3 linked regions of the Oryzias latipes genome follow. The protein of the gene in region 1 purifies or fractionates together with the protein of each later gene. This does not show direct contact. Links are inferred from orthologs where the notes say so. Each region holds a gene or a part of one and is shown on either strand. Other genes may lie near its edges.

What was found.
Region 2: the proteins of neurl4 (region 1) and sssca1 purify together in Homo sapiens (co-immunoprecipitation; 4 studies listed by BioGRID and IntAct, with this or other methods). This does not show direct contact. The link is inferred for Oryzias latipes from reciprocal best matches to the Homo sapiens genes NEURL4 and ZNRD2.
Region 3: the proteins of neurl4 (region 1) and cep97 purify together in Homo sapiens (affinity purification with western blotting; 4 studies listed by BioGRID and IntAct, with this or other methods). This does not show direct contact. The link is inferred for Oryzias latipes from reciprocal best matches to the Homo sapiens genes NEURL4 and CEP97.

The regions. Positions count from the first base shown.
Region 1 is NC_019876.2:14,650,552-14,654,792, reverse strand, and holds the start of neurl4 (neuralized-like protein 4), read right to left. Parts: upstream 2,813-4,241; 5' UTR 2,571-2,812; coding exon 2,406-2,570; intron 1-2,405. UniProt on the Homo sapiens protein: Promotes CCP110 ubiquitination and proteasome-dependent degradation. By counteracting accumulation of CP110, maintains normal centriolar homeostasis and preventing formation of ectopic microtubular organizing centers.
Region 2 is NC_019872.2:7,955,529-7,959,610, forward strand, and holds the start of sssca1 (Sjoegren syndrome/scleroderma autoantigen 1), read right to left. Parts: upstream 2,810-4,082; 5' UTR 2,734-2,809; coding exon 2,718-2,733; intron 2,704-2,717; exon of another isoform or gene 2,623-2,703; intron 2,279-2,622; coding exon 2,127-2,278; intron 2,052-2,126; coding exon 1,967-2,051; intron 755-1,966; coding exon 321-754; 3' UTR 1-320. UniProt on the Homo sapiens protein: Might play a role in mitosis. Antigenic molecule. Could be a centromere-associated protein. May induce anti-centromere antibodies.
Region 3 is NC_019879.2:10,883,706-10,887,949, forward strand, and holds the start of cep97 (centrosomal protein of 97 kDa), read right to left. Parts: upstream 2,810-4,244; 5' UTR 2,716-2,809; coding exon 2,679-2,715; intron 861-2,678; coding exon 715-860; intron 618-714; coding exon 459-617; intron 1-458. UniProt on the Homo sapiens protein: Acts as a key negative regulator of ciliogenesis in collaboration with CCP110 by capping the mother centriole thereby preventing cilia formation. Required for recruitment of CCP110 to the centrosome.

The sequences.
Region 1 (4,241 bases):
ACAAAGAGTGAAGCCAAGGTTTTGGCAGCTTTTTTACTTTATTTTGGCCTGAACTGCTGATATTCTTTCAGACGAGGCTGATGTTGAGAACAACAACAAGGACATTTTCTGTTTTTTTAAAAATAAAAATATAGCAGATCTGCATCTTAACGAGCTCCAGATTGTTTTGTAAATGAAGAATTTTACAAAATAATGACAGGAAATGTTTTTTTTTATCTTTCAAATGTTCACATCAACACAATGTCTGTAAAAAAAGAAAAAAAAAAATAAAGTTTGCCACAATGACAGACGCCTTTCTCTCATTTTTTGTTTTTGCACGCTTCACCGAAGCTGCTTCTGTTCCCCCCCCAAAAATGAAGAAAGTAATACTTACTGACATTGCAAAACATTTGCGCTTTAAATAAATTATAAAATATCCATCAGTAGTAAGAAGGCATGCAAACATTACGCGTTTTAGGTTTAATTGCTGACATTTTAAATGCTTTCTTTAGCAAGGGAGGAGGTGTGTGATGAAGCTCCAACAGTATAGAGACATAATATTTAAAAATGATGGGGCTGCAATCGGTGATAAAGCTTGTGTAAAACTGCAGCGGGATGAAAGCAAGTTCTAATTCTTTTTTTAAAAGAGCTTTGCTGTTATTTTTAGTCTGCAGTGCATCTTCATACTCAGGAGGAGCATCTTTGAAGACAAAACACTGAAATAAATGACAGAAAATGACACGCAGTAAAGCACATTAAGTCCTTGCAGTTCTGTACTTCTATATAAAAAAAGGAGCTAGTCACAAAAGCTGAAACATCAAATATTGAAGGTGACTGATCGTGACGTTACTCTGATTGTAAGGTCTCCTGACGCTTAGTAAGAAAAAGGACTGGATTTCACACGAGTGAATCACGTTTTCCCCGTAACTGTGCTCTTCTATTTGAGCAGAGTCAGCCAAGCTGCAGCAAACGGAGACAGATAAAAAGCCAAGCAGAAAACAACACACACATTTTTAGAAAATGACAATAAACAACGGAGAAAAATCATCTTTACCCCTTACCATCACCCCAACTGAGAGCTCCACGTTTACACTCTGTCCCACTAGCTTACAGCCTTTCACACACCCCCACAACAAAAATGATGAAGCAATAATCCAGATGTACAGTTTGGAGTCAGAGACCAGCCGAGACGAGATAAAACAAAGACGTTTATGGATCTAGACGTCTGCAAAAAGATGCATCGGAATGGAGCGGCCCCACCCTTAATTTCTACATCACAAATACGAGCTTTTCAAACCATGTTTCTTTTTGTCTGCTCCCGATTCACAACGATCTGAATAAAGAGAGACTAGACTAAGCTTCATTTTCTTTATCTATGTCCTCCAGCATCAGAAAAACGCCACAAGAACATGTTAAAAACTCAAAAAAACAACATGATTTGCATGATCAGAGTGGGTCTGTGGAGCCCCGTAAGCGTATGCAGAGGGAACTCCTGGCAGCCTGCAGATAAAGCAGCCAAACCAGGAGCTTCTAGCAGGCAGCATTCAGGGGGGAGGGACAAAGTTAAAATTAATAAAACCCCTGTCTGTTCTTTACTTTTCACTCCAGCTGATCAATTTTACATAAAAATAAGATTTCAACTCGTCAACGTCGGTTTAAAACCCAGATTGATGCATTTAATAACCAGATCATTGAATCCATTAGGTCAATTTGCACACAAGAGTTACACACCAATAACAACATGTCTGTCTTTATTTAATTTCAGCCTTTAAGCCCCAACTGTGACACCAAGCAGATCTTGTTTACAAATGGATGGAAGCTTTTTGGTGCTAAAAAGGTAAATGGCTGGGGGGTGAAAAGGCTCGACCCACCCTGTCAGTCACAAAATGAGACAACAACAACAATGATCAGTTCAGTAACATCCTCTGAGCCCCTTCAGCTGGGCGGTGCTGCTAGCATCCCTCTGGAAACCTGGGCAGCACCGACTTCTTTCAAAATTGCAAAACTAATTTTTATTATTATTATTATTATTATTATTTGTATTTATTTTTTAACCATTGTGCTACTGTTGTGTTTGAATAGAAGCGACAGTTTTCATTTTTTTAGAAGCGACACCCGTTCTAGAAAGTCAACAACAGCTAGCATCTCATTAGCTAGCTAACTAACCTACGGTTATCGCGAGCCCGGCGACCAGTTTACCGTACATCCGAGCCGAGGGTGCGGTTGTCGAGTCACCGCGCCGCCGCTGCGGCCCCAACAGTCCCCCGCCACAACAGGTAGGCGGCCTGTAGAGACGCGAAGAGCGGCAGGGGGTGGCAAGATGAAACAGAGCCGGGTTTATCCACTTACAGCCCCCACTGCTGCTCTGAGTGACCACCGGCGCTCGGGGTGGCAGAATGCAAAGCATCGGGCCCGCGCTTGTTTACCTTCTTGTCGATCCGGACGGTGAAGACATCCCGGTCCCTCAGCGGCTCCTTGCTGAGCACGAGCCCGTGGTTGAACTCTTGGACTGGCTGGTTTCGCCGGGCGGTTCGGTTCGAGTTGGAGAGGCCGATCAGCTTTCCGCTCCGCGGGTGCAGCTCCGCCGCCATGTTCAAGGGGGGCGGCCAGAAATCACGACACTCTGGTTTTGCGACAGTAACGTTACGTTAGCCCGATGTGCTAGCTGCCGAAAGTCGCGCTGGATACTTAGCGCGGGAAAGAGGTCACTTTACTTCAGCAAATTCAATGAACAAAAGTTATTTAAGAATGTATCATATTTATAAGGAATTTTCTTTGAAATTCTTTAGAAATACAGTAAAAGAAGATTCTTGTTTCGAAATAAATGGCAAAATATCACATTTACAAATAAGTGGAAAGCTGACTTTGTTTTATAATTACATTTTTTATATTAACCATAAGTGACTCAACTAACAAAAAGGTGTTAAAAACAAATTTTAGAAAGTGACTTAATTTAAAATCCTATAAGCCTTGCATTATTATATTGTGTTTATTTTGTTTTATCGTCTGTTGTTCTGTATTTGCATCTTTTGAGTGAAGTTACTATTTATTTTTTGTCAATTTGCTGAATGTTAAGCCATGTTCTGTCATGTTCAATCGTTCAGTAAATTATTAAAAATGGAAAAGAATTCAGCAAATTCAGATTTTTTTGGAAGATTAATGATAAGACAGACACTGTCCACTGTGGATTTATATTCAACTATTGAATGAAAACACTTAAAATAAACTTGAACTGTCCTTTTGTTAGTTATATAATGGAAAAAACATCAGAAACGCAGTGCTACCAGGGGCGGAGCTTTGGGGGGGCAACTGCACCCAACAAAAAATTTGGCCCCACCCCACTTGCCCCCATATTAGTCAATATTAGTATAATTACTGACAAAGATTAGGTAATCATCAATACAAGCCTTCTTTAAGCGTTAGTAATAGCACCTCAGCTATTACTCAGTTTTTGATCTTTTAATTTGCAATTCAATTCTATAATAAAATTATTAGAGCATAATTTTAATTACATATACAAAAATATAATCTGCTCTCTTTGTGGATCCCCTCAGCAAAGTAGTGTATTTACGTTTATATACCATCTATAATATAGACAGTATATAAACTTAAATACACTACTAACACGGAACATTTTAGGTTTACAATATATATATTGTAAACCTAAAATATTCCATGTTAGTCTAAGTAAGTATTCAGTTACTTTCTACACTATAAGTACATGGTGTACAATAGGCCTGCACAATATATCGCTAATTTATCATTATCACAATATCAAGCTGTGCAATACGCAGATCGCAAAAGATAAAAAATAAATAAATAATTGCACTAAATGGTAACCTTAAATATCCTTAAACAATCTTATGGCAGCTTGAATTATTTAATGAATTAAATAAATCCCTTTATGCATTTGACCAATCAGATGGAGCCCTTTCATGTTAGATGTGCACCTCCTATTTAAACAAAGATCATTTGAAGTGTAATTTAAGTTATGTTGACTCTTATTTAATGAAAACTCTTGCAATAACATGGAAATGATATATTTAGTTGTTTTGCTATTTGTTTATGTAATGCAAGATATATCCTCATCACAATATTAAGCACTAATATCCCAAATTGCAAGTTTTCCTCATATTTTCCAGGAATTTTTTGCTTTAAATGTTTTAGTTTAGACATTGTTTTAGTGAAGGGTACATTTTTTGTTGTTATTTCAAATGCTTTAAAAACGCAACGTTGTTGATCCTAAAGACCTTCAAATCCTC
Region 2 (4,082 bases), on another chromosome or scaffold:
CAAACTGTAGAAACAAGTCCGCTTTTCTCCGCAATACATAAAACATTTCACTGATTCACATTTTACTGGTCAGATATTTTAAAACCTTTTATGAATAATCGATGAACTTGTCTAAGATAATCACACAGAAATGAAACAATAGGTTTTTGTTTTTTTTTGCCCACTTTTGAATGAATCCGATTTCAGGCAGATGTTTTGACTTCAACGGGAAGCGAAGGTTTGGCCGGACTGGAAAGCTAAACCAGAGTCAGTCCTCTTTAAAGAGAGGCAAATAGAAACACTGTTCCTATCACTACGTGGTTAACATCAGTCCACTGGAGTTACTGGCTAAGCTCCTTGAGGCTGCGCAGGGAGTTGGCACAGCTGCTGATGAGGCTGCAGAGCTGGATGCTGGCCTCCAGAGATGCCGAACTCTGAAGCTGGGCGGTGGCCCAGCGAAGTTTCGTGAGAACAGCCTCCTCGGCGTCTTGCAACACCGGGCTGAAGACGGAGCTCTGTGGGGGGGCTGGGGGGCGAGCAGATGGTAGAGGTGTGGCGGGAACAGGAGCTGAAGGAGGAGGCACAGCTGGAGGAGGAAGAGGAGTTCGCCCCCCTGCAGCTGCTCCCTCGCAGTGCTCTGGTCGTGGCTGAGGAACTGAGCCGCTGGCTTGAGTGCTGCTGCTGCTGCTGCTGCTGGGACCGTCATTAACTTCAGGTGTCTGTGCCGCAAGCTGCCTTTCTCTGACTTGAGACAGAGCTGCTTGTGCGTTCAGAGCTGAAGTAAAAATAATAATAATAGTAGAGTTGAATTTCCAGGAAAGCAGAAACAATGGGTGAATTCTAAAAACCAATAGTCAAAATAGGGTGTCAACAGGGAATGCTTGATAAAAGTCGTTTTTGGAACAGGATTTATTACCCATTTTACAACATTTTGCACAGCATACAGGGAAATTTCTCCAACAACGCCATGCTAAATGTGCACTTCACCATGCTCCTCATGAGGCAGCAGATAATGTTAGTGTGCTGGTTACTGTTCCAAGATACTATCTCACCAGATAATTCAAATTTAGCAGTGGTCATAACCACAACCAACTCAAATACCACATGGGTAGAGCACTGTAGGAAAGTTACACTCAGATAAAATACAATGAATAAGATGAAAGGCTATACTATAATGATATGTACAAATCCATGATTGATTCCCCACATTAAATGTCCAGTTGTTGAGGTGCAGCTATCACTTAATTGGGTTTGGATGATATTGGTTTGCATTTGGGACAAATTGTGGGGTTGGTCCAGCTGGAACCGAGAAGGTTGGTGCTTCGTTTTAAAGATCCACTCCGAATATCTATAGAGCTGTTTTAACAGTATTCCCGGTGAGCTTTTGATTATGACTATGCCATTGAAAGAACTGTGTTGTTCTCTGGGACAGAGTTTCTGTAGAGCTGCAGTAATTCACTCGAATTTCGCCTTGTGGTCGGGCCTGTCTACATTCTCTCCCTAGCTTACAGCCCCTCACATCCCCAAACTACCATTACCGGTGCAAAAAGATCGTTGCGAAATATTGGAGCTGTCCAGTCGTTCAGTTTTTAGCCAGATTCCAGCTCGGACAAAGACGTAAAAAGGTTCTAGTCGTCTACAAGCGGACGCATCAGAATGGAGCAGAGCAGGGAGCTTTTGACCTGCCCATTATAGCTTCTACATCACTGCTACAAGTTTTTTGTAATTAAGAATTTTCATGATTTCCTGAGTCATAACAATGCGAATAGAGAAAAATACTCAGAAATACAACTTTAAGCAGAATTTTCTTTATATATGCCCTCCATATTTAGAAAAATACCACAAAAGAGTGTTAATAACACCAAAAACACTTTTTTTTAAATTGGAGCGGGTCTTTAACGACTTTTAAAGATAATCATTGTAGATTTTCAGACCCAAGAACCCTGCTGCAGGAGCTATTACTCATATGAGAACAGGTTTGGTGTACCTGGATTATCCTTGTCAATGTCAGAGTCCATCTCCTGACAGGAGACACAATAGTTTTTCTGCTGTCTGTCCTGAAGAAGAATAGTCTGGAACCACAAACAATGAATCACGTCACCATTTTCTGCACGCTTTAAAGCCACACAGACTCCCCCTTAACTCACCCCACACGCATCGCAGCAGTCCCCCAGCATTTTGTAGCCTTTCAGAAGGTAATCCCCCATCAGCCGGCTGATCTTGTCTTGCCGCTCCCTGCGAGCTTGAATCACCTTCATCTCAGCCTCTGTTGGAGGTTCCCACTCATAGTCTTCATCATCTGCAGGTCAAAAACTGTTACTTTATCGCATCTAAACAGACGCAGCTAGAAACAACAGCACTTGAACGGTGCTAAAAGAAAAAAGTCTGCTTATCTTCTTTATGCCAGCCCTACTAGACCAACTTAAAAATGTTTTTTAAAAAGCAATATTTTCCCTCCCTTGTCAACACGTTTTTAAGTTACATTTTTTTCTTTATTATTGGTTTTCGAAATGTTACCACATGATTTCCGTGAGGAAATGACAAGCTAGCTAAGCTTACAAACTAACTAACCGTAATGTCTAGACGCGTCTATAAACAGAGCGGGGGCGGTAGCCCCACAAAAATAAGATCAAAGAATCATACCATCAAAAAATAATAAATGCCTTTTTTTGGTTAAACACCAGGCTGACGGGGGAAACGTCAAAGTTTGCACATTGATAACAGTTAAGTTTACAAACCTCCATTCAAAGCCATGTTGCCTCTGTGCTACACGCTGTGCGTGATGACGTATGCGACGTCACGGGCCGTCGTCTTGCTCTTCGCTGATGAGAAACTGTTTTATCGCCCTCTAGCGGGGAGATGGTAACTGCACCTTTTTTATTGACAAAATCCAAAATTACAAATTTTTTCACATAAAAAACTGAAATGCAAAGCATAAGGCAGTGTAGCTTGTTAAAAATAGAAAACTAGAACAAAGTCTAAGCAGCAGATAAAAAATAAAGTAATAAGTAATAAAATAATAAAAAGTACATATATTATAGTTTAGTAGCAAAAAAACTAGTGTCAAATAAAATTAAAAGAAACAAAGGCATTGATCCACATAAACTAATAAATTAAAGAGTTATTGCTTTCTCATTATGGACTTTTAGAGGGATTTATTTAAAAGCATAAGATCGTTTTTGAAATACACAAAATCTGGCTTCTCTTTCAGAAAACAACATTTATAAATACAAAATGTCCCTGAAATAAAAAAAATGTGTTAAATACAAACGTAATATTTTTTTTTTTCTTTTTTGATACAACCAAATTAAATGTTAAGGTATGAATATTTTGGGATTGTGCTTTTGTTGAAAGCCACCTAAAATAAATCATTCCAGAAAATCCATTAATCTTATTTTGTTTATTGGGATTAACGTTCCTTTGCTGGAAATTCAAAGTAGGCAGGGGGCACCCTGGACAGGTCGCCAGTCGGTCGCAGGTTAGAGTGTCCACAATCACACACACCCACATTCACACCTATAGGGACAATTTAAATTAACCAATTAATGAAGCACATGCAAGAACATGCAAATTCCACACAGCAAGGTCCCCCATTGATGTGTGTTTTTTAAAGAAAGTTTGGGACAGAGTTTTCCTTCTGACAGGAAGAGGAAATAATTTAGCAGTCAAGGAGGCTCTTAAAACTTTATTATTGCATTTTTTATTTATAAATTCTTTATCATTATCAGAAAAATGACAGATTTTACATGTTTTCATTTGATTTTAGAAATTTTATTAACAATTAATTCAATATTGTTGGGTGTCGGGTTTCTTGTGATTTTATTTATTTATTTTGTTTTATGTTTTCTATTTATAGTACTATTTTTTATGTTACTATTATCTTTTTTTTAAATAAAAGCACTTTGAGATGCTTTGTAGCAGGAACAGTGCTGTAGAAATAAAGTTGAATTTGAACTAATAAAGTATCTCCCCATTGGTTTTTCCACATCTTCTCTTGAAGAAAAAATATTTGCGTCTTTTGTTCCATACAAACTAAAAATAATGCTTTCTTTTTGTAATGTATTTAAGTCCTCTTGAATTAATTAAATGAAAGAAAGTCTTGA
Region 3 (4,244 bases), on another chromosome or scaffold:
GAGATTTCTCTCGTGTTGTAGCTGAATCTGTATTTTATCTGACCATAGCTTCAAATGTCAATTAAAAACTTACCTTTTTAGAATGTTTTTTTATGCTCAGGTGGCATTTTCTTTTCTTTTATTTATTCTTATTTATCTTTGATGTATTTTATTGCTAAAAACGTTTTGTAAGTTTATGCTGTTTTTAAATTTGTCCTTGATTTGCCTGATTTTAAACATTTTTTTTGTCTGTTTCTTTTATTATGAAGCACTTTGGTACACTTGTACACTTTGGTAAGCATCAATAAATACTGAAAATGTCTGCGTAAACTGTGACCCCTTGAGTGGCAGTCAACTAAAAAGTTTTAATGAAAACCACTGATTTATTTGAACCAATTGAGGAATGCTTCAATTCTTTTCCATTTTTGTTCTGGATGAGAGGTTCTTCTGGTTTGTAGAAATCCCTCCCGTCTCCTCACCTTTATGTTGTTTCCGGAAAGGTTTAGCCATTTCAGATGAGGCAGATCGCGCAGTCCTTCAATGTAGCCGATGCTGTTGTTGGGCAGATTGAGGACCCTCAGCTGCATCAGCTGAGACACCCCCATCATTCTGACCAGACGGTTGTTTGCTACGGATAGCTGAATTAGTGACAACAAGGAGTTTGCATCAAAACCACAGAGCGGGAACGTGTTTGTTCATCTGTCATCAGACTAGAACCACTCTCAAAAATGTGACCTGCTGAAGGCTGGGGCTTCGTTCCAGATTATCCAGCTTCATGATTTTATTGCGGTCCAAGATGAGAGTGTGAGTGTCGTCAGAACTGATGAAACTGGGATCCAGCTTCTGCACCCCCCGACCTGTCAGATCCACCACGGGTCCTGCTGGTTTAGGAGTCAGAAGACAAAACACTTGGATTTCTCTTTTCGTACATAAAAGCATTTCACACTGGTTTACAGAAAGAACAAAGAGTTGGCATTATATTAAAAAAAAAAATGTCACAAATGTACCATTAATGAAACAGAAAGAAAGCAGCACTTTAACTAAAAATCGTTGAAGAACATTCAAGTTCATCAGACATCTTGCTTCAATCTGTGTGTAGCTTCACCTTTGACTCAAAGGTCTACCTACCACCTGATTGGTTCCAGAGCTTTGTTGGGTTTGTGAGCCCTGAGCAGATCTGACTCTATGCTATCTCTAATAGTCTTTATTGAAAGAGCAGACAGAACTGTTATATTGGTCCAGCCTGAAGGACATGAAGACACCAAACAGCTTCTCTTAATCTTGTCTGAATGTGAAATCTCTGAGTTTCCCTGTGTGTTGACCTGATCTATTTGTAGCCTTGTTGATCCACTTCAAAGAAAAAATGGTGTTTTGGGTGTTTTTTTTTCCTGATGAGGCAGGACAATTATGAAGGAAATTAAGCTTCAAATTGCAATTCTGAGTATATTTCATTCAAATCATTTTGAATCAGGAGCAAATGATAAATGCTCTTTATAAAAACTTGTGTTGTGACGTGGAGCCTACAACGGCAAGTTACAGGCTTCCTGCTGCGCTCCATTCTGATACCTCTACTTGTGGACAAATAGATTCATCTACGTCTTTGTTTTCCTCGTCTGAGCTGGACTTTGAATCAAAACTACAGTATATGACTGGATAGCTCCCATGTTGCTTGCCATTTTTGTTACGCCAGTAATTTGGGTTGGGGTTGTGCGGGGCTGTAAGCTAGCGGGAAAGGGTGTAAACAGATGGGTGATGGGAAGTGGCAATGGGCTTACTCCACACCAACAGTCCCGCCCACATCTACTGATGCTCTGCAGAAACTATGTCCTAGAAGATGACACAGGTTTATTGACTTTTCCTAAAAATGACATAATCATAATTAAAAGTACTGGAAATGCTTTGAAACGTGACCGAAAGATGATCGGAGAGCTACTTTAATGTAAATAATAGCAATTTAAAGTGGATTCTACACCAACGTTGTCATGTTTATATTCGACGGTAAAAGGATGATTATGCATCAAAGTCATGATGTCAGAAAATCCCATGTTTGACTTGACCTTTTTTTTACATTTTTAATTAAAGTGAATGTCCTAAAGCAGCAGGAGAATCTTATTCGACGCAGTATGTATTTTATTTTGAAAAGAACATTTAAGTGCTGCTGTTAAAAGTAAAAGTAATTCACATTGAATGAATAGTAAAACAGAACACTGGTAAAATTCAATTACTGTATTGCAAATCTTTAAAAGCTACTTTTTAAATTAATAGTTTTTTTTGTGCATTTAAGTTGGGTGTATGTATTCTATGGCCACCAGGTTCACTTCATGATGGATCAAGGCTTTAACTGACAACCTGCGTTGGCCAACTCAGCCACTGCAACTGTAACTGATGCTGCTGACATCACAACATCTTTAAGATAACAGTCAATTGTGAGGAGGAAAGAATTAGAGTTAGGTTTGAAAAGAAAACTAGTTTACAGTACAGATGTTCCACACAAGTCTGCCAATATGTCCAGTTTGATGATCAAACTAGCTAACAACCACCAGATATTTCAACTTAAAGAGTCAATGAAGAAAAGTCACGGGACGTTTGCTGAGCTAAAAACGGTCAAGAGCGCTAAACGACTAGATTTAACACACGTACGATACAAACATTACAAACTGAATGGGTTCACCTGGCTATAAAACCATAAAGAAACTCACCAGCGTTCGTATCAAAGTGTAAATCTGATACACCCATCCTGCCGGGCTAGCTAGCTTTCACCGAGCGTTAGCTAACTCTAACTGTCAGACACACAAGAGGCGCCTGTCGGCTGTCACAGGGTGAAATGCTTTCTGGGAAATGTAGTTACCTGTCTGGCCTGCAAGTCTCTCTCCCGATTATCTTTTGATCTATAAAGCGCTCCCAATGGTCTTTTTATCATGATTATGCCGTTATTACCCCCCCCCCCCCCAAATAAATAAATAAATAAACAAAATTAACAAGCAAACACACAAAAAAGCCTCAACATTGTTGTTTTCTAGAACACTGCGGAGCAGCAGGAATTTATTAGAAATTCACCTCTGAATTGTTGGCGGGACTCATCTGCCACCTTTAACGCTAAAAGAGCCATGTAGTCTAGCTCATTACTGACCAAAAAACTGCAAAGTCCAACTTCACCGTTTGGGAAAATAGTCTTTTTTATTTAAAAAGGTTTCCGTGGTCATTAAACCTTTTATTTATAAAGTGTTGCTTTTAATACAATAATTAAATTATAACCGTGTTCTATGTTTCTTTCTATACCAATTTGAATTAATTTTACCATAAACTACAGCAAAATAAAATGCATACTGCATCGAACAACTAGTTAATCTATTTTTTTTTCAAGTCCAAGCATTTTCTTTAAAACCAAAGAGCCACACATGGCTCCTTAGCCTCAGGTTGGAGACTCTTGATTTAAATGCTCCCCTTCTAGCTTACAGCTCTTCACAACCCAAACCTAACATTGACTGACAGTAAATAGTTTTTTTAAAATGATCGTTCCACAGCTTGACAACATTCCAGATAGTTATCAGACATTTTAGTTTAGTCTTTTATCTACATTGCATTGTCATTTTTAAATAGAAACATTAAACTTCTCTCATGTTATGTCTTTTATGTTTCCAAAAGGATTCCTGCGTTGAAGTGAGATTAGAATGGAACCTCACTCTGTTTACTTAGATGTAAGGCCAGATGACATGGTCAAAGAATATTTTTTTTTTTTCATTCATTTTTCAAAAGCAAAGATAAATTAAAGTTATGTCTGTGGTTTGTATCAACATAAAACTAACAGAGCAGATGACCTCAGACACGTGCAGACTCAGCAGAGCCATCTGAGAACGAAACACAAGAACTTCATTTTGCTGCCTTTCTGGTTCCCTCTGATATTTGACAGCCAGCCAGAGACAATGAAAAAGACTGCACCTGACTTTGGACTTTGAATTTGAAGTTAACCATTGAATGAAGCGCAGTGACTCCAAAAGGTATTAAGCAGGTTCAGAAGATGGATGAATGGCATTGGATGAAAGACCTACAGCTACAGGTGAACACAAAAAAACCACTCTATAATCTGCAACTGTCATGGCTGTGCTGTGAGCTTGTTAACAAAACCCCAGAGAGTTTCATTGTACATTTAGTGAGTGTTAAAAAATGTTTCAGTGACAATGCTTAATACTTTTTTAAAATTAGCTTTAGTTTAAAAAGATGCAACACATAGGTTTTTTCTGCACTTAAAACTTAAAAATATACAC